Lepisosteus oculatus: one gene and its partner. The protein of the gene in region 2 purifies or fractionates together with the protein of the main gene of each other region. This does not show direct contact. Links are inferred from orthologs where the notes say so. Each region holds a gene or a part of one and is shown on either strand. Other genes may lie near its edges.

What was found.
Region 1: the proteins of pfdn5 (region 2) and pfdn1 purify together in Homo sapiens (affinity purification with mass spectrometry; 7 studies listed by BioGRID and IntAct, with this or other methods). This does not show direct contact. The link is inferred for Lepisosteus oculatus from reciprocal best matches to the Homo sapiens genes PFDN5 and PFDN1.

What each region holds. Positions count from the first base shown.
Region 1 is NC_090706.1:41,107,884-41,118,324, forward strand, and holds the start of pfdn1 (prefoldin subunit 1), read left to right. Parts: upstream 1-5,350; 5' UTR 5,351-5,415; coding exon 5,416-5,448; intron 5,449-6,478; coding exon 6,479-6,645; intron 6,646-10,441. UniProt on the Homo sapiens protein: Binds specifically to cytosolic chaperonin (c-CPN) and transfers target proteins to it. Binds to nascent polypeptide chain and promotes folding in an environment in which there are many competing pathways for nonnative proteins.
Region 2 is NC_090696.1:20,601,178-20,611,879, reverse strand, and holds the start of pfdn5 (prefoldin subunit 5), read left to right. Parts: upstream 1-6,404; 5' UTR 6,405-6,449; coding exon 6,450-6,515; intron 6,516-10,702. Other genes in the region: espl1 (separin), read left to right, coding at 36-158, 305-457, 794-967, 1,312-1,416, 2,138-2,253, 3,136-3,219, 3,706-3,870, 4,618-4,819. UniProt on the Homo sapiens protein: Binds specifically to cytosolic chaperonin (c-CPN) and transfers target proteins to it. Binds to nascent polypeptide chain and promotes folding in an environment in which there are many competing pathways for nonnative proteins.

The DNA of each region.
Region 1 (10,441 bases), on a different chromosome or scaffold from region 2:
TTATTTAACCACCTCGTTTTAATTAGCGTCTTAATCATGCTGAATAAACTAGGGATTCACCTCAATTCACCTACACCAATTCTTAATGACTTTTTTTTTTTCCCCAACTTCATGCACCAATGAAGTTGGTAAATATGAGCCCTTTTGAATATTTAAGAAAAGACTGTCTGGTTTTAATTAAAACAAGTGTACCATGGAAAGAAATTGTAATTCTTTCTATCTATAATTATACTGGGGGTTCAAACATTTTCTCTGCACTGGGTTAAGGTAGATCCTCATCACAGGCTTATCATGGTAACAGAAGGATAAATAATGTTTTAAATGGGTTTCACTGTATCAAGGTTACTTTTTCATACACTAAACAAAATTAGATTTGTAGTTCATAGGAGGTTAAAAAATATTGTATTCTTGAACTGGCTCTGGTAAGTCTGTGTAGTGCACTCCCAGAAAAATCCAATGAAATTAAAAGCAACTTAAGTGTAAAAGACAATGTGTATATACTGTATGTGTAAGATAACGTCCTGTTAAATGCGATGCTGTGCTAACTGTATCCAATTGCAAGATTACACATATTGCCATTTAATGTGAATTCAGAAATGTTATGCTCTTTTTAATACAAATGTCATTGCATTGAAGTTTTTTGTATGAGCAACAATTACAATTGTTCCTAACTGCAGCAGTAGAAATAAAAAAAAAGACGTCCTACTTTGTGGTGTTCTTTGATTGCCGATACCGTTGCCAGCTGTTGGTCATGAGCAGACGGACGAAAAGGAGGAGCGATCGCTGAGCGCTGGGGGGCAAGTCCAGCTCCAGATGTTCTTCTCTGCCTGGAGTCTTGTCCTCCGAGTGAAAGGACACAAGTGGAGTGGTCAGTGCTCATGTCCAGGTGGGGGTGGAGTGGTCAGTGCTCACGTCCAGGTGGGGGTGGAGTGGTCAGTGCTCACGTCCAGTGGAGGTGGAGTGGTCAGTGCTCATGTCCAGTGGGGGTGGAGTGGTCAGTGCTCACGGCCAGGTGGGGGTGGAGTGGTCAGTGCTCACGTCCAGGTGGGGGTGGAGTGGTCAGTGCTCACGTCCAGTGGAGGTGGAGTGGTCAGTGCTCATGTCCAGTGGAGGTGGAGTGGTCAGTGCTCACGTCCAGGTGGGGGTGGAGTGGTCAGTGCTCACGTCCAGGTGGGGGTGGAGTGGTCAGTGCTCACGTCCAGTGGAGGTGGAGTGGTCAGTGCTCACGTCCAGTGGAGGTGGAGTGGTCAGTGCTCACGTCCAGGTGGGGGTGGAGTGGTCAGTGCTCATGTCCAGTGGAGGTGGAGTGGTCAGTGCTCACGTCCAGGTGGGGGTGGAGTGGTCAGTGCTCATGTCCAGTGGAGGTGGAGTGGTCAGTGCTCACGTCCAGGTGGGGGTGGAGTGGTCAGTGCTCATGGCCAGGGGTGTGTGGAGTGGTCAGTGCTCATGTCCAGTGGAGGTGGAGTGGTCAGTGCTCACGTCCAGGTGGGGGTGGAGTGGTCAGTGCTCATGTCCAGTGGAGGTGGAGTGGTCAGTGCTCACGTCCAGGTGGGGGTGGAGTGGTCAGTGCTCATGGCCAGGGGTGTGTGGAGTGGTCAGTGCTCATGTCCAGTGGAGGTGGAGTGGTCAGTGCTCACGTCCAGGTGGGGGTGGAGTGGTCAGTGCTCATGTCCAGTGGAGGTGGAGTGGTCAGTGCTCACGTCCAGGTGGGGGTGGAGTGGTCAGTGCTCATGGCCAGGTGGGGGTGGAGTGGTCAGTGCTCATGTCCAGTGGAGGTGGAGTGGTCAGTGCTCACGTCCAGGTGGGGGTGGAGTGGTCAGTGCTCATGGCCAGGGGTGTGTGGAGTGGTCAGTGCTCATGTCCAGTGGAGGTGGAGTGGTCAGTGCTCACGTCCAGGTGGGGGTGGAGTGGTCAGTGCTCATGTCCAGTGGAGGTGGAGTGGTCAGTGCTCACGTCCAGGTGGGGGTGGAGTGGTCAGTGCTCATGGCCAGGGGTGTGTGGAATGGTCAGTGCTCATGAGCATGGGGAAGCAGACTGTGGGGCTCTGGGCTTAGGCAGGTCTCTGGATCCAACTGCTCTGACAGGTTTCCTGAAATGGCTGGCCAGTCCAGTTTCCCCAATGTAAATGGCTGGGTACTTTCTGCATGAAATGCAGTAAAGGAGATTGCTGGAGTGAAATACTAAGACATTGTATATAAACTCAGCAAATTATTGCAAAACCGTGTTGAACATAAGGGAGCGGTTGGTAGGATCAGGCTGGTCCTCGCCCGGCTTGTGTAACGCCACAAAACGGTCCTTTTGTAATCCAGTTGCTGTGAAGCCTTTCCCAATTCTCTGATGCAAAACACAGCTTCCTTCACTTCCAGCCACACAGCTTCAATGTGAATTCAACCTGACGACGACAGGAGAATTCACATTTCACTCATGCAAGTGAGTCTGCAGACAGGACCAGCTCATGGTCTCAGAAGCAGCAGGAATAAACCAAACAGTCCCAGGATGCTCTGTGGTTGAATTCTGCACTGAGCATGAGCGCAGCTGTCAGGAAGGACTCTTGAGATGGCCTGTATTCCTTCACTTCTGGGCATCCTGTTGTACACCACTGATGTCACAAACTGGAAGCTGGTGTTTTTTGTCACATTGATTTCTCATAAACTTCTTGCCACACCATGCAAGTGCTGCAGAAAATACAGCACAGCACAATGTGAGCATCCTGGGTTTCAAAACAGAGCAAACCACCATTTCCTGACATGAAAGAGGAGCGACGCATTTTGATTTTGACTGGAGATATTTCCTGTCGAGCCCGGTTAAGGCTTGGCTATTGTCTCAGCTGGGACATTAATAACTCAGCTGAACTGGAAAAGGCAGACTTTAAAAAAAGACTTATGGTCTTTGGTTAAACAGGCCGATCTTATTCATATAGTTTTCCGTAGCTATTTAATCTGAGGATTACTTTATTTACAGTGGCCCTTAGGGGTCTTGTCCTCTTCCCATCAATGAAAAGGGTCTCAGCACAAGAATGGAATAGGTGCCCATCTGAGAGTTTACTGCAATATATTTACCATAGGATTTTCCCATTTGCCTCGTGGATTTACTGTGGTGCATGTGAGTAAATACTCCATGGAAATACTATTCTTAAACCACAGCATTCCCATGGTCCAGAGTAGTAAAACACAGTCAAGCCATGGTAAAAGTTTGAAGTGTGCCCAATAAGTGTCTTGTCACACATGCTGTTACTAACGGGGCTGTTAGAATTTCAGGATGAGGTCAAACTGTAAACTTGCTCTTCAGTAAAAAAACCTGGCTCCTGTGCACAACTCTGCGCCCATCTTTTCTACACTCCTCCCTGCGCCACAACTCCACTCCTGCAGCTGCCTCGCTGGTTCATCCCTCGCAAGTGAGGGGGGTCGTGACAGCAGCTCTGGGCCTCCGCCAGTGATGTCACTTCCTCAGCCAGGAGAGTTAACCCCCAACACTAGGAAATTAATGACGCAATCCCTTAACATTCATTTGGCTTGCTTCGTCGGTTGTATCACTCCTTGCCTGAACCGCCGAATATCCCTTTATTATTTGCTGAAAGATAGCAGCTCCCAGTCCGTGTGTTTCTTCAGGCTCTTCTTTCTTCCTTGAGTGGAAACATGACAGATCTGCAGCTTGGCCAAGGCCTGTGGTCTCCCCACACCTGCACCCTGCTCCCGGGCCCGCGACCTCGGCACCGGCCCAGAGTGGGGGGGGCCGGCCCAGCTGGAGGGGGGCTGCGTCACCCAGCCCACACAGGTGGAGGGCGAGCTGCCGAAACCACGCGCACTGCCACCGCGAGACAGACGACAGCAGCGAAGGCTGAGGACCGACAGAGGTGCCTCAGGAGCTCGTGTTGGACCTGTGTGCGGTCAGCAGTAACCCACTGGGATCCAGAACACAGGCGTTCACTTCACATTCGGATGACTGGAAAAATCTACAGCTACATTTGAAGATTCAGTATTAGGAAGCCTCCAATCACGTGTGTTTTCTTGAGCACTGGTCAAGACATTTTCCACAAGGAGCAGGGGCTTCTCCTGATTGCACCAGTTATACAACCTGGATCACATTCCACTCCAATTTTGCGATTGCTGCCATGGACACACTTGACTAGAGACTTTTAACCGTTTCTCGACTTTGAACTGCATTGGTCAGATGTTCAGTGTCCAGTCGATACGCTGGGCCGGGCACTGCTCCGTCCCAGACAGTCCTGTCAAGGGCGGTGTGTCCGCACGCTCCCGGTGTCAGCTCTGAGCCGGGCCGGCCCGCGGGCCGTCTTCTAGCCGGCGCAGCTCTGCCTGGCTTCAGCGGAGTCAGCGTGGTCAGCGTGGCTGACCGGAGGCCTACAGCAGGGGCGTCCAGCCCTGGTCCCAGAGAGCGCTGTCAGGCGGGGGTTGTCAAACCATCAAATCACGCCTTTCTGAAGGCAGTTTTACCATGATCGACGAAACCGGGGATTCATTAGAATATTAAAACATTTCATAGAGTGCGAAGGGCTGTCGCACTGTCCAGGGAAAGCTCTGCCCTCAGTCTGCTGCTTGCTGGGATGGGCGCTGGCTCTCCTCCTGCACAGTGTAGGATAAAGCTGTGAGAAACTGGATGGACGAGATGGAATTTTATAGACAGTTTGGGGCATAAACCTGAATACTCTCTCACCTCCAGATTCATGACTTAACCGTCTTCCCCATCTTTAGGAATAGGTACAAATTTATACTTTATATGATATCCTACAGGGAGGTTTCCATCTTCCAGAACACACCGGGATATTATGATGGGGATCGTGAAATGGATGTGCTTCATTTGGTCGATAACTGCTTCTCTCTCAGGTTGCATGGTTGCCTATTAAGGAAGATGGTCTTATTGACCTAGTTTCTCAAACAACCGGGACATATTCAAGGGAACAGAGGCGATACAGACACGGGGAAATTGAGACCATAATATAGTACTTATCTATATTTAGATTCATTTTAAATCTAAAGACTGAGGTCTAAATTTGGCGTGTGTAATTTTAGAAAAGCAGGCCGTGAGGGAGCAGGGCAGAGCTCGCCAGCACAGGCTGGGACCGGCAGGAGTCAGAGACAGCAGATCAAGGATGGCTGCACTTCATGTCAATGTCTCAAAACCAATTTCGTCCAACCTGTCATGCTACTAATATGAATGCACTTTCTAAGCATTATGAATTATTCAGATATAGACGTTCACACTGAATTGCTCCATTTTATGCAAAATAAAGCTAAGCCACACTGTTATGAAACGTACTTTTACTATGTACGACTGTAACAAGGCGTTTTAACACGCGGTCGAGGTAAGACCGTCTCTGCATGACGTAATGACTCGAGCTACCGGCATGCAGCCTAGCAACCGATAAGGACTCACTGCGCATGCGTTCACCTCTCCAACATGGCAGCCCCCGTAGATCTCGAGTTGAAAAAGGTAAAATGTTTTATTTCATTCTTATACGATAACGGTTGGTCATTCTCAACGGCAGCATTTTAGTTTCTGGTAACTTTATCTCTCATGTCGTAGCCTTTTGATGGTTTTAAAACGGGGAGACAGCCCTTTAATCCTGTCACAAAGCGTGTGGTGGAGAGAAAGCGTGTACAGGACCTCTGAGTTTGAAAAAGGCTAGCTAGCTTAAAGTCATACCTGTTTTGTCTTTTAATTGCGTGATTTTACCATTATTAGATTTTTAAATTAACGTCGTATTATCTGGTTCGTGCAGCGTGCGTCAGTTTGTTTTTAATATAGCCAAACATCTCCTTTGTTAAGTGTTTTAAGATGTCATTCTGCTTTCGGAAATAGAACGATTATTTCCTCCGCGATAGTGTAGATTAGTAGAGTCCCAGCAGCAGGATGCCCAGTGTTCAGGTTGTCGTGATTACACGAAACGTGAGTCAGGCCAAGAACCGACACCCCGCGTATGTGTTGCATCTCATCGCGGTCGTTACCAACATCGACTAAAAAACTATGCTTCTATAACGTGGGAGATCTGAATTACCCTTGTAGCAGCTACACCTGCCCGTTTGTTAAATAATGCTTATTCTGTTTAATTATTACAATCTCATTATTCTGCACTCAGTGCATAATTGTACATCCATCCATTTTCTAACCACTCTGTCCAGCTCGGTGTTTTCGGGGATGCTGGAGCCTATCCCGGCAAACAGTGGGTGCAAAGTGCGATACACCCTGGACGGGATGCCAGTCACACACTGATACACACACACACACACACTCACACCAAGGCCAGCTGTCCTAGGAGCCAGCTAACCTTCCAGCATGTCTCTGAACTGTGGGAGGAAGCCCACACGAATCCGGGGAGAACATACAGCCCTGCAAGGCAGCAGCTCTGAACCCGGCTCACAGTGCCTCCGAACCCGGCTCGCAGTGCCTCGCCACGCGGGACGACGGCAGACCTCCTGCCTGCGAGTGGCCGCGGTGTGACGTGATGCGGTGTGACCCGCAGGCTTTTGCCGAGCTGCAGGCGAAGGTGATCGACACCCAGCAGAAGGTCAAGCTGGCGGACCTGCAGATCGAGCAGCTGAGCCGCATGAAGAAACACGCCCACCTGACGGACACGGAGGTCACCACCCTGCCCGCGGACACGCGCATGTACGAGGGCGTCGGCAGGATGTGAGTACCCCCGCGTCTCTCTCGCCCCCTTGTCTGGGTCTCCCAGGCCCGTTCGGTTCGGATCGGCTCTGCTGTGCCTCCCCAGCGTTGCGACTGTGGGCTTTGGCACTCGTATCACTACATTCCTATTACATATAGAGTCTGATTGGAACCTTAGGAAGGTCACAGAGAAGAGGAGGCCATTTGGCCCATCTAACTAAGCGAAGGTCATCTGTCCATTTCTTGCGAGAATCCCAGGGTATCAGTTTCAACAAAATGTCTGGGCAGCTTGTGGCAGACACCCATCACCATTTGTGTGAAGAACACAAATCTACCTCCTCTTCTGACTGGAGGATCTCATTCAGCTGTGTCTTGAAAGAAGCCAGAGGCTCTTATTGGCTCTGACAGCAATGCTGGGCAGCTTATTCCAGATTCCCACTACACGTTGCAGTTAAATTTGGCTAAAGTCTCTTTACCATTCCTTTGCAGTTTCTACAGTGTTTGCTAATCCTTGTATTGTGATATCATCTGTGCATTTGACTGTGAACTATACCGGAACCTAGATCACTGGTTAAAAATTAGGGAGAGCGGCAATCCTGATACATATTCTTATGCTACTCCACTAATTACATCTGTACCAATGCCAGTCTGAGCAGTCGTACTTTTTTTCTGTACTAATTGTTTCTGTCCATTAACCTGTTCTGAACCCAAGGGCATGCATTACTTTGAGTGTCTGTTGTCTGTGTTATTAGAATTAACTTTAATGAGGAACTTTGTCAACAGCTTTCCACTCATGTAAATTTTATGATCTCTATCCATTACTGCTGATTGTTCAAAGAACTCTGATATATTACAGAAGATCTAACCCTTTTTCTCTGTAAATACCGGAGTCAAATAGTGATGTATCGGCTCTCTCCATTTCCTGGACTGATTCCTCTGAGACTTGAACTGGAACCTGTTCCATTTTTACTACTTTATAAAGTGCTTTCTTTCTCCTCAAATTGCTTTAGTGATTAAACCTTTAGGGTTTCTGCATTCTAGCCGTTGATTTGCTTACTCTTTGGGATTGATAATTTCTGTTCCTTTGTGTAAAGAAGTACCTCTGGTTGGTGTTTCACTGTTCATTCTGAAGAATGTTGCTGGGTTGAATGCGTCACTGCCTTTGAGGGAACATGAACCCCTGACAGCACTAAGGGTGTTGTGTAGGTCTGATCTGAAGTGGAAAATGTCTTGGGATTTTTAACAAATATTTTCCAATAGAATGACTGAAATCAGATAAGTCCAAGGTTAAGCAAACATGCACAGGAAAGCAAGTGTTTTTTGCTCATATGTCCAGTCGGAAGTGTGATTGACAGAGACTGGTGATGAGTATTTTCTCTTGGTGTAATAATCCTAGCCTTCTGCGAATGGTAGACATTTTTATTTGGTTCAAACCGCTTTCAGAAATGGCACTGGATAGGTTTCTTGTGTTTCCCAGTGCACAGTACTGGTGTTGTCATTACTTTTGTGGAGAGTTAGATGGGTTTGTAATTGAAAATGTTTAATTTTATCTCAAGCTAATAATAGTATTTCGTTTTTGCAATCCAACATGTCATTCCACTTGCAGGTGTTTAACGAATTTCTCAATTTGGAGACTATTGTTCCTGAAAACGTTCTTCCGTACCATACAGCACTGCAACGTTGTGTTAACTTGGCCTCACAGGCTTGGCTTCACGTCAGCCAGTTTGTCTACATTTATAGTACCGAGAGTCATCGTCATGCACTTACTATTAAAGTCACAGAGGCCTGAAGTGGGAAGGAAACGGATAGGTTTCTTTTTCTGTATTGTAACTCGGAGGGGGAGGGAGAGGAGCTCAGTGATAGTGATAGTACCAGGGGCTATGGAATGAGCCTGTCTGGCTTCACCCTTACGGTGGGGTTTGGTGTTAATTAAATCCGCTTGTCGCACCAGTCTTATATGACTGTCTTTCTTGTGCAGATGGACAGGTGGCGGGGACCAGTTCAGCAGATCTTGCTGCATTGCTCACATGTTCTGCCGAATCTCTGTGGTGTCTGAAAGATGAAGCTGTCCTGCAGGCTTTGTGCAGTATTACCGTAAAATCTGCCCTATGTGTTTTCATGAGATTGGTATACTACATACGAACGTTTTCTCATCCCAGTTGTTTCTTGAAAGAAACCAGTTTATTGGCGTCAACCACATAGCTGGGTAACTTGTTTCCACTTGTCTGCTCTGGTTTGCGATTCCCAGTTCGTTGTGAAGATGTCCGTTCTCTTGACCTGTCAAGGCCTTGAGGCCTATATCCGGTGTTGACCCCCTGATTTCCTGCAGCCTCCTGCAAGGTGTTATAACCCTGGAGAGCTTTGTGCTTAGAGCAAAGGTGGGCGGGAGGCAGGATGAGGGCATTTGACGCTTTTTATTCGTCCTGCTGATCCGTCATCTGTTGATCCGATAAACATGTCGTCCTTTTTCAGATCTGAGCAGGAAGGTTTGCTCAGGGTGGTGTGGTCAGTTGCACCTGCTGTCGGTTTTCAGAGCAGTGGTGCTGGTGGAGGCCAACAGGGTAGCTGGGTGAGGACAGTGTGTTACAGCTGTGGGCTGATGTCACAGACCGGGCTGGGGGAAGGTGCTGAGAGTCTCTTCCGCTTGTATGGGGACAAGCCAGCAGCTCGGTGTTCCTGGCTTGGAGGTGGTGTGGTCGCGCCGCAGTGCTGGGTCCTGCACACCCAGGCCGGAGAGGGATACCGCTCGGCACTGTCTGCTCAGTCGGACACGTGAGGGTGATGGGGGGATGAGTAAGGAGCAGCTCGATGTCAGGCTCTGTGATTAACTGCCTCAGGCACTGCTGGAGGATTGGGCTGCTAATCCTTAGCTCAGAAACAACAACAGCATTGGGTTCCTCTTTGCTCCAGTCAGTGGCCACTGTGGGCTGTTTCCCTGCTCCACGTGTTCTGCCTGTCTGATTCTGTCACCTTCTGTCAGTGAGGGTCCTGCTGGTTGTGTCTAGTAAGAGTTTAAATGGTTACAGCTCAGAAGTTCCTTGGGAGAATTGGGAGCAGTGGCGCTCAGTACGTTTGAGGGGCAGAAGTAATTAATCAGCTGTATGTATTTAATAGAGGAAATGACTTAAGGGCACTCTTCCTGAGCTCTGAAAGTAGAATTCAAGGCTTGAGTTTATGCATAAGGGATGCAGTTTGATGGGCACCAGTACTAAAACAGTGTTAAGGATGGGAGATAATGGAAAGAAGCGCTGATGTCTGTGCTGTTAACTGGGTTCTGGGTGTTTGATCTGACATCTTCACTCCAGCTCTGTTTTTCCCAGTTGTTCCCTGTGCCTGGAATCCTGATTCCCGCATGGTGCGCTCTCATTGTCTGCCAGGAGGAAGCTCTGGTGTTTGCTATTCTGCTGGCCGGGCCAACGAGAACACAAACAATGGGGTTTTTCCACAACAAAGTGTGGAAACGCGCATGAGGAGTGCAGTTGGAAATCTAATCATGTTAGATACTGGCCAGGGGTGGGAGTGTGGGCGTTTTTGCATCTGCTGCCTGCGTGTATAACTTTGGCATTATCCCTTTGCTTTATCTTGCTTTATTTTTCTGTTTCTTTATCTTGTTTTGCATGTTGAATGCTGTAACATCCTCATAGTTATCTTTAGCAAAAGATGTTTCATGTAACTAAAGAAAAACATCCCTGGAGCACAGAAAGGTGTACTAGATGCCCTTTTGCCCTGCATTTGAAGTGCATTTGTTCTTGTGCTTTGGTGACACTTTCCAGCCAGTTGCAGGTTACAATATGAACACGCAACTGCCCTCTGATGT
Region 2 (10,702 bases):
CCGGGGGTGTTAACACTGCGTGTGCCCTTTCCCAGAGACCCATCGGCACGCTGCTGCGGGAGTTCGAGGCCATGCAGCAGGAGCAGAAGGCGCTCAGCAACGTCACGGACAAGGCGGAGTGGTGGGAGGGGCGCCGCCTGCTGGATGGCAGGATGAAGGTGAGAGGGGGAGCGGGTCAGCCTTCATATCTTTCCATCGATCTGGTCCCCCAGATTTCTTTTTTTTTTGTGGTTTTCTTCTGATGGTTTGGTTTTGATTGCTGTCCCCCCGCCCTCTCTTCCCTGTCTCTCATCTCTAACTCCAGGCGCTGTTAGAAAGTATGGAGGAGCAGGTGCTGAGCTGCTGGAGGGGCCTGCTGCTGCCCCATTGTCAGGACCCCGAGGTGGCCAAGCAGGCTGCCTGTCTGCATCAAGCGCTCTCTGAGTGTGGAGCCCAGAGCAGCGAAGACTTGCTGAAGGTCAGGGGTCAATGAGCATCCACTTTTTCCACAGTCTAGTTCATATTCCCAAGAGCTTGGTGTCTTCCGGTTCCAGTACAGCACTACTGTTACTTAATCGAGCCCTTGTGCTTTTATGATCTAATCCTTGACAACTTTTCCATGCATTTTAGAGAATTATTGAAGATTAGAAATTAGAAAAATGTTTGCATGGAGAAACGTTCAGGGTTTGTTTTTTGTTCTGGAGAGCTCAGCTCTGTCTGATACCCCTGGTCCAAGTCCATCACCAGCTTTGCTAGATCTCTGAATCGAATGCTGAGTGCTCTGGTTACTCCCTGCTTTCCCCTTGTGCTGCAGGCTGTGCTGACCGCCGCTCCTCTCCTCTCCCCCTCGGACCTGCGCTTGCTGGCTGGGGGGTTGTGTCCGACGCAGCCCGATGAAGCACAGCACCTCCTGCAGTCTGCCGTCACTGTGCTGAAAGACCGACAGGAGAGCCAGCCAAAGGGACATGTCGTCCTTATCCTGGACAAGGTACTGGCACCCTGGGAATACTGCTATAGATTGGAAGAGTTCTGGATCTTGTACCGAAAGCCTTTTGTCTGCAGAGGTCTGTGACCACACACCTGTTTCTCTTTCTGATCTTGTTTTGACTTCTGTTCTTGTTGTATAAACCCCAGTGTTGGGGACTCAAGCTGCTGATCACTCCATTGCATGGAGTTCTACTTTGGCATTTTGGACATGTATTGCTATAAATGTGGGGACAGAATCTAAAGATGATATACACATGCCATTGCAATGTAGACATCCCGAATAAAATGCGAGTCTGTGGGAAGACAATGTGTGCCCTCATCTTTGCTGTGTGCTGGTATGTGCAGCACCTGCAGAAGCTCCCCTGGGAGAGTGTGCCCTGTCTGAGAGCCCGCGCTGTCACCCGGCTGCCCTCTCTGCACTTCCTGCTGGGACACTGCGCCCTGAGAGAGGTGAGTGTTCCACACACACACACGCCTTGAGAGAGGTGAGCGATCCGCACGCACACACACGCCCAGCATCCTGAGAGAGGTGAGCGACACACACACACACACACACACACACACACACACACACACACACACACACACACACACACCCTTGGAGAGGTGAGGGCCTCTCTGGCAAAATCATTCAGAAGGAAAAACTTCCAAAGGGCCAGAATGAGTTACATCATTTCTTTTTTATGAAATATGGTCATAAAGAAGCAAGCATGTTGCCACTGCTCTGTCAGAGAAAACCCTTGTACTTTAAGTGGGAAGGATAATGAACAAGAAGCCCATGAGATTCTTGCAGGTCAAGTTCTTTTTCATTACAGACCAAAGCAGTTTGTCAAATTGTGTATTTTGCTGTAGTTTAGTCTTTAAAATACTTGTGTGTCTCTCGCAGATAAAAGTAAGTGCCTGTGGAATATAAACTGCTGATGAAAGAATGATCGTCTTTCTACACTAGGAATGTTGGCTTTGCGTTATCCAAATGTCTTGTGCAGTACTATTAATCAGTGTTGGATTTGCAGAGACTGATACGAGAACTTCTGGGTGCTGCATCTTTGGAGTGTTTTTTCTGCACTCACTAGCTCGCAGAGTCAGGGGAACTTTGCAGGTGGTGGCACTAGGCTTTTTTTAGCGGCCTGCTGTAGCGGCCCACACTCACTGCTTCTCTCTCCCTGCCCAGCTGGACCCACGCTCGGTTCTGAACCAGGGTGTGGACCCACGGCGCACGTTCTACGTGTTGAACCCACAGGCCAACCTGCTGGGCACCGAGGAGCGCTTCCGGGACTGGTTCACCAGGTGAGAGCCTGCCGCAGGCGCGCACACCCGCGGGCTCCAGCGCCAGCAGGCTCTGCCCATGTGACCCTGTTGGCGTGCGACCTGTTATGAATGCACAGGTCCCACTTGAGCAATTTTAGTGGCCTGCTCAATGGAGCAGGCCCATACTATACTGTGGGAAGGCCTATTAGGGCTTAATGTGTGCAGTTTTCTAGCATTTATTTAGGCTGACATTTTTCTAAAATGACTTGGAGCTGGGAGGGTGGCACAGTGTAGCTGTGGTTAGGATTGCTGCTCCATTACATTCCGGACTCCTTGTGCTATCTTCATGGAGTTTGCATGTCCCTCCCCCTGTTTGTGTGGGTTTGCTCCAGGTGCTCCAGTTTCCTCTCAGTCCAGAGACATCCTGGGAGGTTAATTGGCTTCTGGGAAAATTGGCCCGGGTGCGAGTGTGTCTGTATGCCCTGCGATGGACTGGGGTCCTGTTCAGGGTGTACTCTGCCTTGCGCCCACTGCTTTGTGGAATATGCTCTGGCTTCCCTGCGATCCTCAGTTGAAGGCAGTGGTTAGAAAATGGATGGCTGGACTTGGAGCTGGACTCCTCAGGGCGTCTTACTGGAGCAACATGTGATTCAGCTCCCTTAAAAGTATGACTGCACGACATCAGCATTCGAACCCGCCACCTTCCAGCTAAGATTAGAGCCCTGACCACTGGGCTGGATCCGATCTGTGACAGCAAGTGTAAAAACAAAAACAGCTTGTGCAAAGACAAGAAAAGGGAGATGGTGCACAGAATTGTTTAATTAGCTCTCGTTTTTTCTCACCTTGCTTTTCTCTTCTCTCCACCGGTGTGCCTCTTGCCCCGTCCCCCCTCCTGACTGGTGGCCTGGACCTTCTCTGCAGTGAGGAGGGCTGGCAGGGTGTGTGTGGCCGAGCCCCGACCCCCGAGCAGGTGCAAGAGGCCCTCTCCACCCAGGACCTCTATGTGTGAGTATCACTGGTGTGGCAGTCTGCACCCTTCTGCATTTCTGTGTGTGCTAGCAGCCAGTTCCCGAGTCTCCGTCTGTCTCTGCCTCCCCATTCTCTCTCTCTCTGTGGTGCTCTGGTATCTTCATGGAGTTTGCATGTCCTGCCCATGTTTGTATGAGTTTCCTCCATGTGCTCCAGTTTCCTCTCTCAGTCCAAAGACATGCTGGTTCTGCCGGGGCCAGTTTTCCCAGATGCCACCGAACCGGTGGCATCTGGGAAAACTGGCCCCGGTGTGAGTGTCAGGGCAGTGTACCTGCTGATCTCAGTGGCCTGGAGTTCTGTAGGTTTTAGTCCTACGTCTCAGTTAGCAGCTGAGTAAGATTTTAAGAAACAGGTTGTTTGAACCATCCAAATGATCTCTGATAGCTTAGTGGAGGCAGCAGTTCCTGCTCCACTGGGTGTGCTTCTGTGGGCTCTTTCTAACCACCTGCCTCTCCTCCGCAGTTACGCGGGACATGGGGCCGGGGCACGGTTCCTGGACGGCTCGGCGGTCCTGCGGCAGGATTTCCACGCTGTGTCCCTCCTCTTCGGCTGCAGCAGTGCTGCGCTGGCGGTCCGAGGCGAACTGGAAGGCACAGGCATCGTTCTCAACTACCTCATGGCTGGCTGGTGAGAGAGCACCGTGCTTCCGTGCTGCTGCTGTACTTAAATACTAGCAGTGGCCTGCTATTGTTGTGAACACATGGGCACGTGGGACTTGATTTCTATTCATGTCATGTCAAGAGTGGGGCAACTTAAGGGGGGCACGGCAACGCAGTGGTCAGTATCGCTGGGTCACTGAGCTCGGGCCTTGTGTTCAATTATGGACCTGGGCTGCTATCTGTGTAGAGTTGCTGTGCTACCTGTGTTTGCATGGGTTCCTCCAGGTGCTCCGGTTTACTCCCACATTCAAAGACATGCTGGTAGGTTAACTGGCTCCTGGGAAATGTGTCCTTGGTATGTGTGCGTATCCTGTGATGGACTAGTGTCCCATCCAGGGTTTATCCTGCTGTGCACCTGTTGCTTGGATTGGATTAGGCTGTTAAAAAATGGATGAATCGTATGTTAAGGAGTGGTGCTGGTTAACAGGTGGCAGCCCCTGGCATTTTTCAGCAAGATGCCACATTGGCCCATGGTAACCTTGTGTGTTTGTGATGCTGTTATAGCTTATAAGTTTGTATACCTGCTATTGCAGCATGTTGATATGGAAAGGTACCGCCACCTGTCATTTCACAGCACCTTGCTCTCAGCATTGCTCTTCTAGTCTGTCGCTGTCCAGTGGAATCTTCCCTGGTAACTTGCATCCATCAGTATCTGTACATCTCCATCCCCATCATTTAAATGTTAGTTATGAGCAATTCTTGCCATCTCTCCCAGCCCGCTGGTCCTTGGCAACCTGTGGGATGTGACGGACCGGGACATCGACCGCTTCATGAAGACCCTCCTGCAGCTGTGGCTGGGGGCCGGTCGCGGGGCGCCCCTCCTGGATCACATGACCGCATCCCGCCAGGCGCCGCGGCTGAAACACCTCATCGGCGCTGCCCCGGTGGTGTACGGTCTCCCCGTGTCTCTGCGCTGACTGCCTTTCTTGTAACTCCCCACATTCCAGCATTGTGCATCCGCTTGATCTCTCCAGGTTTTATCTGGAGCTGGGGGTGGGGTCCTTGAGTGCAATAACCGCAGCTGCATTTTGAAATTTATTATCTCCACGTCTGTCTAAGCATGTTCTGAAAATGGGTTGGAAACTGCCATTAATTATTCATTTGCTTTTATGAGATAATATAGCTTGTTAAACTTGCAGCGGAACTAATTGGCTGTGCAGTGGGATTTATATTTGTTTCCCTGTATTTAGAAATGCCAGACTATGCAGGAGCTGGGATAAACTCCCAGGGTTTTACAACGGTCTCCAAGTGAAGGAAAGTGTTGTCGACAAGACAAAGTTATGGATCTCTCACTATCCTGAGACTGTTCATGCAAACCCATTGGCCTTTATTCAAGCAAGCCAAAAAGAGCCAAATCCAGTGCATTTATTTATATTTACAAGTGTGTGCTCGGATATCCCCTGACATTTAGGCCAGTATATGTTTATGGTTTTTGCTTTTATTTTTTAACTACCATTTTGTGTATATGTATTTTAAGGTTGTGAACAATGTATGCATTCCTTTTTAAAGTATGTAATAAAGAAAATATTTGCAATGGTTTGGTCTCCTTTTGAAAAAGTTCTGTTAAGTGTATAGTTTTACTAAACTGCCATACAGAAGTTTAAACTGGTCTCCATCTTTATGCCTTGGTTGGCCCCACCCCTGTCCTATAGTGCTGTTATCCTGGAGGTCTAACAGGTCACTCTTAAATCAATGCAGGAGCATGTGTATTTTTTTATTTTTACAGTTGCAGTCTGTTGATTTTCTTTTAACTGATCTCTATTAGGGCAGTGTGGTGGTGGGGTTTTTAGCAGTGTTGCCTCACAGCGCTGGGGCCCCGAGTTCAATTCCTGGGGAGCAGTCTGTGTGGAGTTTGCATGGTCTCCCCAGGTTCACACAGGTTTCCTCCCAGAGTCCAAAGACATGCTGGCAGGTGAATTGGCTTCTGGGAAAACTGACCCTGGTGTGAGTGCATGTGACTACCCTGCAGTGGACTGGAGTCCCAACCAGGGTGTGTCCCACCATGCACCTGTGCCTTGCCAGGATAGGCTCTGGCTCCCCTGTGACTGTGAATTGGATGAAGTGATTAGAAAATTGATGGTTTTACTATCTCCAGCTTTATTTGTGACCTAAATCAACACTGATGTTTGTGGAAGCCTTATCTCAATGCCTTATACAGGATAATTGCAATGAGCCAACTTCACATGCTGGCAGCACTTGCAGAAAAATAGAAAATTGTAGTCAGGTTTGTCCACATTGTTCTGGGACCAAACTGACAAGCTCCTTTACACAAAGGGCTATGGAAATGTGGGACAAGCTACGCATTCATGTCGTTGCAACTGAAACCTTGGCTTTTTTTTTCAAGAAACAACTGGATGAGATGCGCAAATCGCTAGCATGCAAACCGGCTCCGCCGAATGAACTGGCCTCTAGTTTGTAGCCTTCCTGAGGTTTCACATTTATTACCGAGACGAGACAGACAAAGCGCACCGCCTGTTACTAAGCAACATCAAGTTCCTGTCTCTGCCGGAAGTCGGCGCGGCCGCTGGGATTGCTTTTGCTTCTAATATGGCGGTGAATCTTGCAGAGCTGACATTACCTCAGCTGGAGGGTCTGAAGGGCCAGTTGGAGCAGGTGAGGACCGATTTAGGCTAGATTTAGAGTGGGAGATGAAGAGACATCTCACGTTTGAACAGTACCCTCCAAAATGCGCAAGACGAATTAAAGGCGTAGCCAGCCCGTGAGCTAATCTGGGTTATAGACAGCACGGGGCTGGCGTGCTCTCTTAGCTGGGTGTGTTGAGCGTGTGTTTAATAGAAAATAAATGAGTACTACCACCGTGAAGCTTTCGCTTTACAAACAGCAGCAGACTTTAAAATTATTTTCTTTCATAACATATCCGGAATAACGTAATTAAATAAGTGATCGTTCTCTATAAATACCCTCACATTGAAAACCGGTAGAGTGGCGTGGCTGTTTCCAAATCTTTTCTTTTAAATCGTATTAAGAGGTGTGCAATTCGCGGACGATTCGTTCTGATTCGTTTATTTGATTCACGAAGTCATTCAATTTAGAGAGACAAATCGAGCATCGAGCCAACTAAGGAAATGATGTCTCTCGGATTTTAGTGAGTATGGGAGGAACATCGAAACTCGGGTGAACATAAAGCAACAGTGAACATAAAGCAATAGCACATTGTGAAACATAAAATTACCCTCTTATTAATGAAGTGTATGAGGTTTGTGATAGTGCGCGAAGAATATACTTTGCTGCATATTTCAGATGGTTACATTAATTCGATTTTTTAAAAAAATTCAGCCTATAATAATAACATTAGATGTACATACTAGGAGATACATAATTATACCAGTTTTATTTATTTTTTTGTTAATGTATATTTTAAAGTAATCCGAAATCAACAGTGACTCAAATAAGACTTTCAATTCAATTTTGGCTTAAAAATGTGATTATTAGATGAATTGCCCCTACCAGTATGTCTTTTCTTTAATGCAAGACAAAGTACACTGTTTGAATTGCTGGATACAGTGTCACATAAGTTTTCCATTTGTCTTTTCAACATCCTTCCTTCCCACTCAAGGATCATTGAAGCAGCCAATATTGACTGTTGTAGAATTTTTTTTTTGAAAATTGGGAGTTTTATGGAATATTTCAAATAGCCTTATTTGGGAGGTGGGTAAGCCATCCTTTTGCGGAACAGTTCAGGTCCAGACATAGAGCTCAGAGAACAAAAAACTTGAAATTGCATGCTGGGTGCAAAACGGTAAGCATTAAGTGGTTATAAGCTTATCAATGGAGCTGTAGATGGTTGATAGGAAGTTTTAAAATATCTAAATGATTAAATCGTATTTGTTGGTAATTCGGTCTTTTCTGAGAATTGTAAAGTGAAAAGGCAGCCCTTCAAAACAATCTAAAGTAAAACTCCCAGGACCACACGTTCTTCCTTGCTGAGCCCTCTCTTGTATTGTCCACTCAGAGTAAGTGCACTCAGAGGTCTCGCAGGTGATTTGAGCACTGATGAGTCTGACTTTCAGAAAGGTACTGTTTGTCTTATACTTGTGTGATTGGGGCAGAGCGGTGGCTCTGCGGCTAAGGATCTGTGCCTGTGGCTGGAAGGTTGCCGGTTCAAATCCCGCGGCTGGCAGAGGAATCCTACTCCGTTGGGCCCCTGAGAAAGGCCCTTAACCCCAGGTGCTCCAGGGGTGCTGTATAAATGGCTGGCCCTGTGCTCTGACCCCAAGCTTCTCTCCCTGTCTGTGTGTCTCACAGAGAGAAAGCTTGGATAAGCAAAAAGACCAATTCCCAATACAAGAAATTGTATATGGCTAATAAAGTGATCTTATCTTATCTGAATACTACCTTTTTGAGGTGTCTACCAGACATTATTTCTCTCTTGTTCTTTGATGGGCTTTTCGGTCTGAGGTGAAAGGTTCCACTTTTGTGTAGCTTCTGTTTTTGGAGAATTTTTGTCTTTGTGTTTTTTTTTACAAGACGGTTCTACAGCGCTCGGATGCGATCTCTTGAGCCTTTTTTTTTTCCATTTGAACTGCACTGACGACTGGCTCTTGGTGATGTTTGCGACTCATGTTGTCTTGCTGTTTCATGCCGCAGAGCTCGCTGGATCGTTCTGAAACCTGCCGTGCTGGGTAACGGTTTTGTGGTCGTTTCGGACGATGAGCACGACGGCCGCGACCCGCAAGCGAAGCTCCATTTGGAGCCATTTCACTTCGGTCACGTGCAGCACGGCCAAGTGCGACATATGTCACAGCGAGCTGTCTTACAAAGGAGGGTCAACTACAAACCTGCTCCGCCACCTCAAAACAAAGCACCCCCTGGTGCAGCCGGGCGCAAACAGATCCCAGCTGAGGGAGGAAGCTGGAGCTTCGGCGCTTGCAGGGAGCAGCACCCGGAGCAGGGAAGACGAGCATCGGGCTTTGGTCCCCACCAGGAGCAGTGCAAGCCTGGAGCAAAGCAGCGCCAGCAGCTCTGCCGTGTCGCCCGCGAGGCAGGACCGTCTGAACGAAGCCCTTGCGAAAATGATAGTGATGGATTATCAGCCATTTTCAGTTGTCCAAGACAAGGGCTTCAGAGCTTTTATTAATCAGCTCAATCCCTCTTACGTGCTGCCAAACAGAAAAGCTCTGACCAGGACGATCATTCCCCAGCTGTATGAAAGAACCCTTTCTGAAGTGCAGGAGAAGGTAAAGGGAGCATCAGCTGTGTGTTTAACCACAGACTGCTGGACATCGGTTACACACAATGGGCACAGCTACCTTTCAGTCACCAGCCATTTCATAAACCCCGACTTCCAGATGTCTTCATGCCTTCTTGACTGCTTTGGATTCGCCGACGGGCACACAGCTGCCAACCTGAAAGATGAGCTCCTTCGGATTGCTGCGGACTGGAATATACAAGACAAGGTTGTGGCAGTTGTCAGTGATGATGATGCTGCTAATATGACCGAAGCGATAAGGCTCACTGGGTGGAATCACTTGCCTTGCTTTGCCCACACCATAGATCTTGTGGTGAGAGAAGCACTGCAAGAAATCAGACCCACTGTAGATAAGGTTAAAGTAATAGTGGAATATGTACGCAGAAGTCCTGCAGCAGCTGAAAAACTTAGGTCTCTACAGAAGCAACTGGGCATGGAGGAGCTGAAACTGAAGCAGGAGGTTGCCAGACGATGGAATTCCACTTACCGCATGCTGACTAGGTTTCACAGGGCCAGAGATGCCGTTGTTTCGATGCTGGCACTGGTCGACGCCGCCCTGCCCACTCTGACTCCGGAAGAATGGGACACCGTGGCCGAGTCGTGCGGGATTCTGAAACCTTTCGACGAAGCGGTGGCTGAAATCAGTGCGGAAAAGACGGTGTCGGCTTCGAAAGTCATCATCTTGGCCAGGGGCCTGCAGAGGATTGCCGCCACGCGGCCGAGGAACGCGGGTCTTCCCGGCCCGGTGGCGCGGATGCTCAACGCCCTCCAGGCGGCGATGTCCCGCAGGTTCGACGACATCGAGCGGCAGCCGCAGCTGGCCGAGGCGTCCCTGCTGGACCCCCGGTTTAAAAGGCGGGCGTTCACAGACGAGCGAGCGGCGGAGGAGGCCGTGAGCAGCGTCGCGGCGGCCGCGGGGAAGGTGCACGTCGCCGCCGCCGCCGCGGCTGCCCCCGCCGCTGTGGAGGCGCCAGGAGAGAGCGACCGCGAGGCGCCGGCCGCCACGCGTTCGGCGCTGTTCTGGCGCGATTTCGACGACTGCGTGTCGCACCTCCTTTCGGCACAGACCCCGTCATCGGAGGCCGCGCTGGAGGTCAAGAGCTTTCTGGAGGAGCCTCTGCTTGCCCGGACGGCAGAGCCTTTGCAGTGGTGGGCCAGCCGCCGGCCGGTGTATCAGAGGCTCTCCCGGGTCACGGCCGCGAAGCTGTGCGTCGTGACCGCGTGCGCGCCCTGCAGGCGCAGCTGGTCCAAGACCGGGCAGGTGGCCGCAGAGAGGAGGAATCACTTTAGCCCTTCCAAAGTGCGTGAAATCGTGTTCTTGAATGCCAACCTGGACTGAGGGTACTGCCCGTGACGTGTGACTCTGCCACTGTACAGACAGACAGGCCGTTGCAGGAGGTAACTCAAGTGGGATGTTGCTGTTTCGTTGGTTTTCCACCATCACTCCCTTGTTCTCGTCTTGCCTTGCCTTTGAGATGTTCGTAAATAAAAATCAACATTTTCTGTGACGCTGTTGTTATATTACCCAGTCTACTTCCATGAGAGGTCTGTTATAACTCAGTATAATAAAATTTTATTTTTACTTATGTTT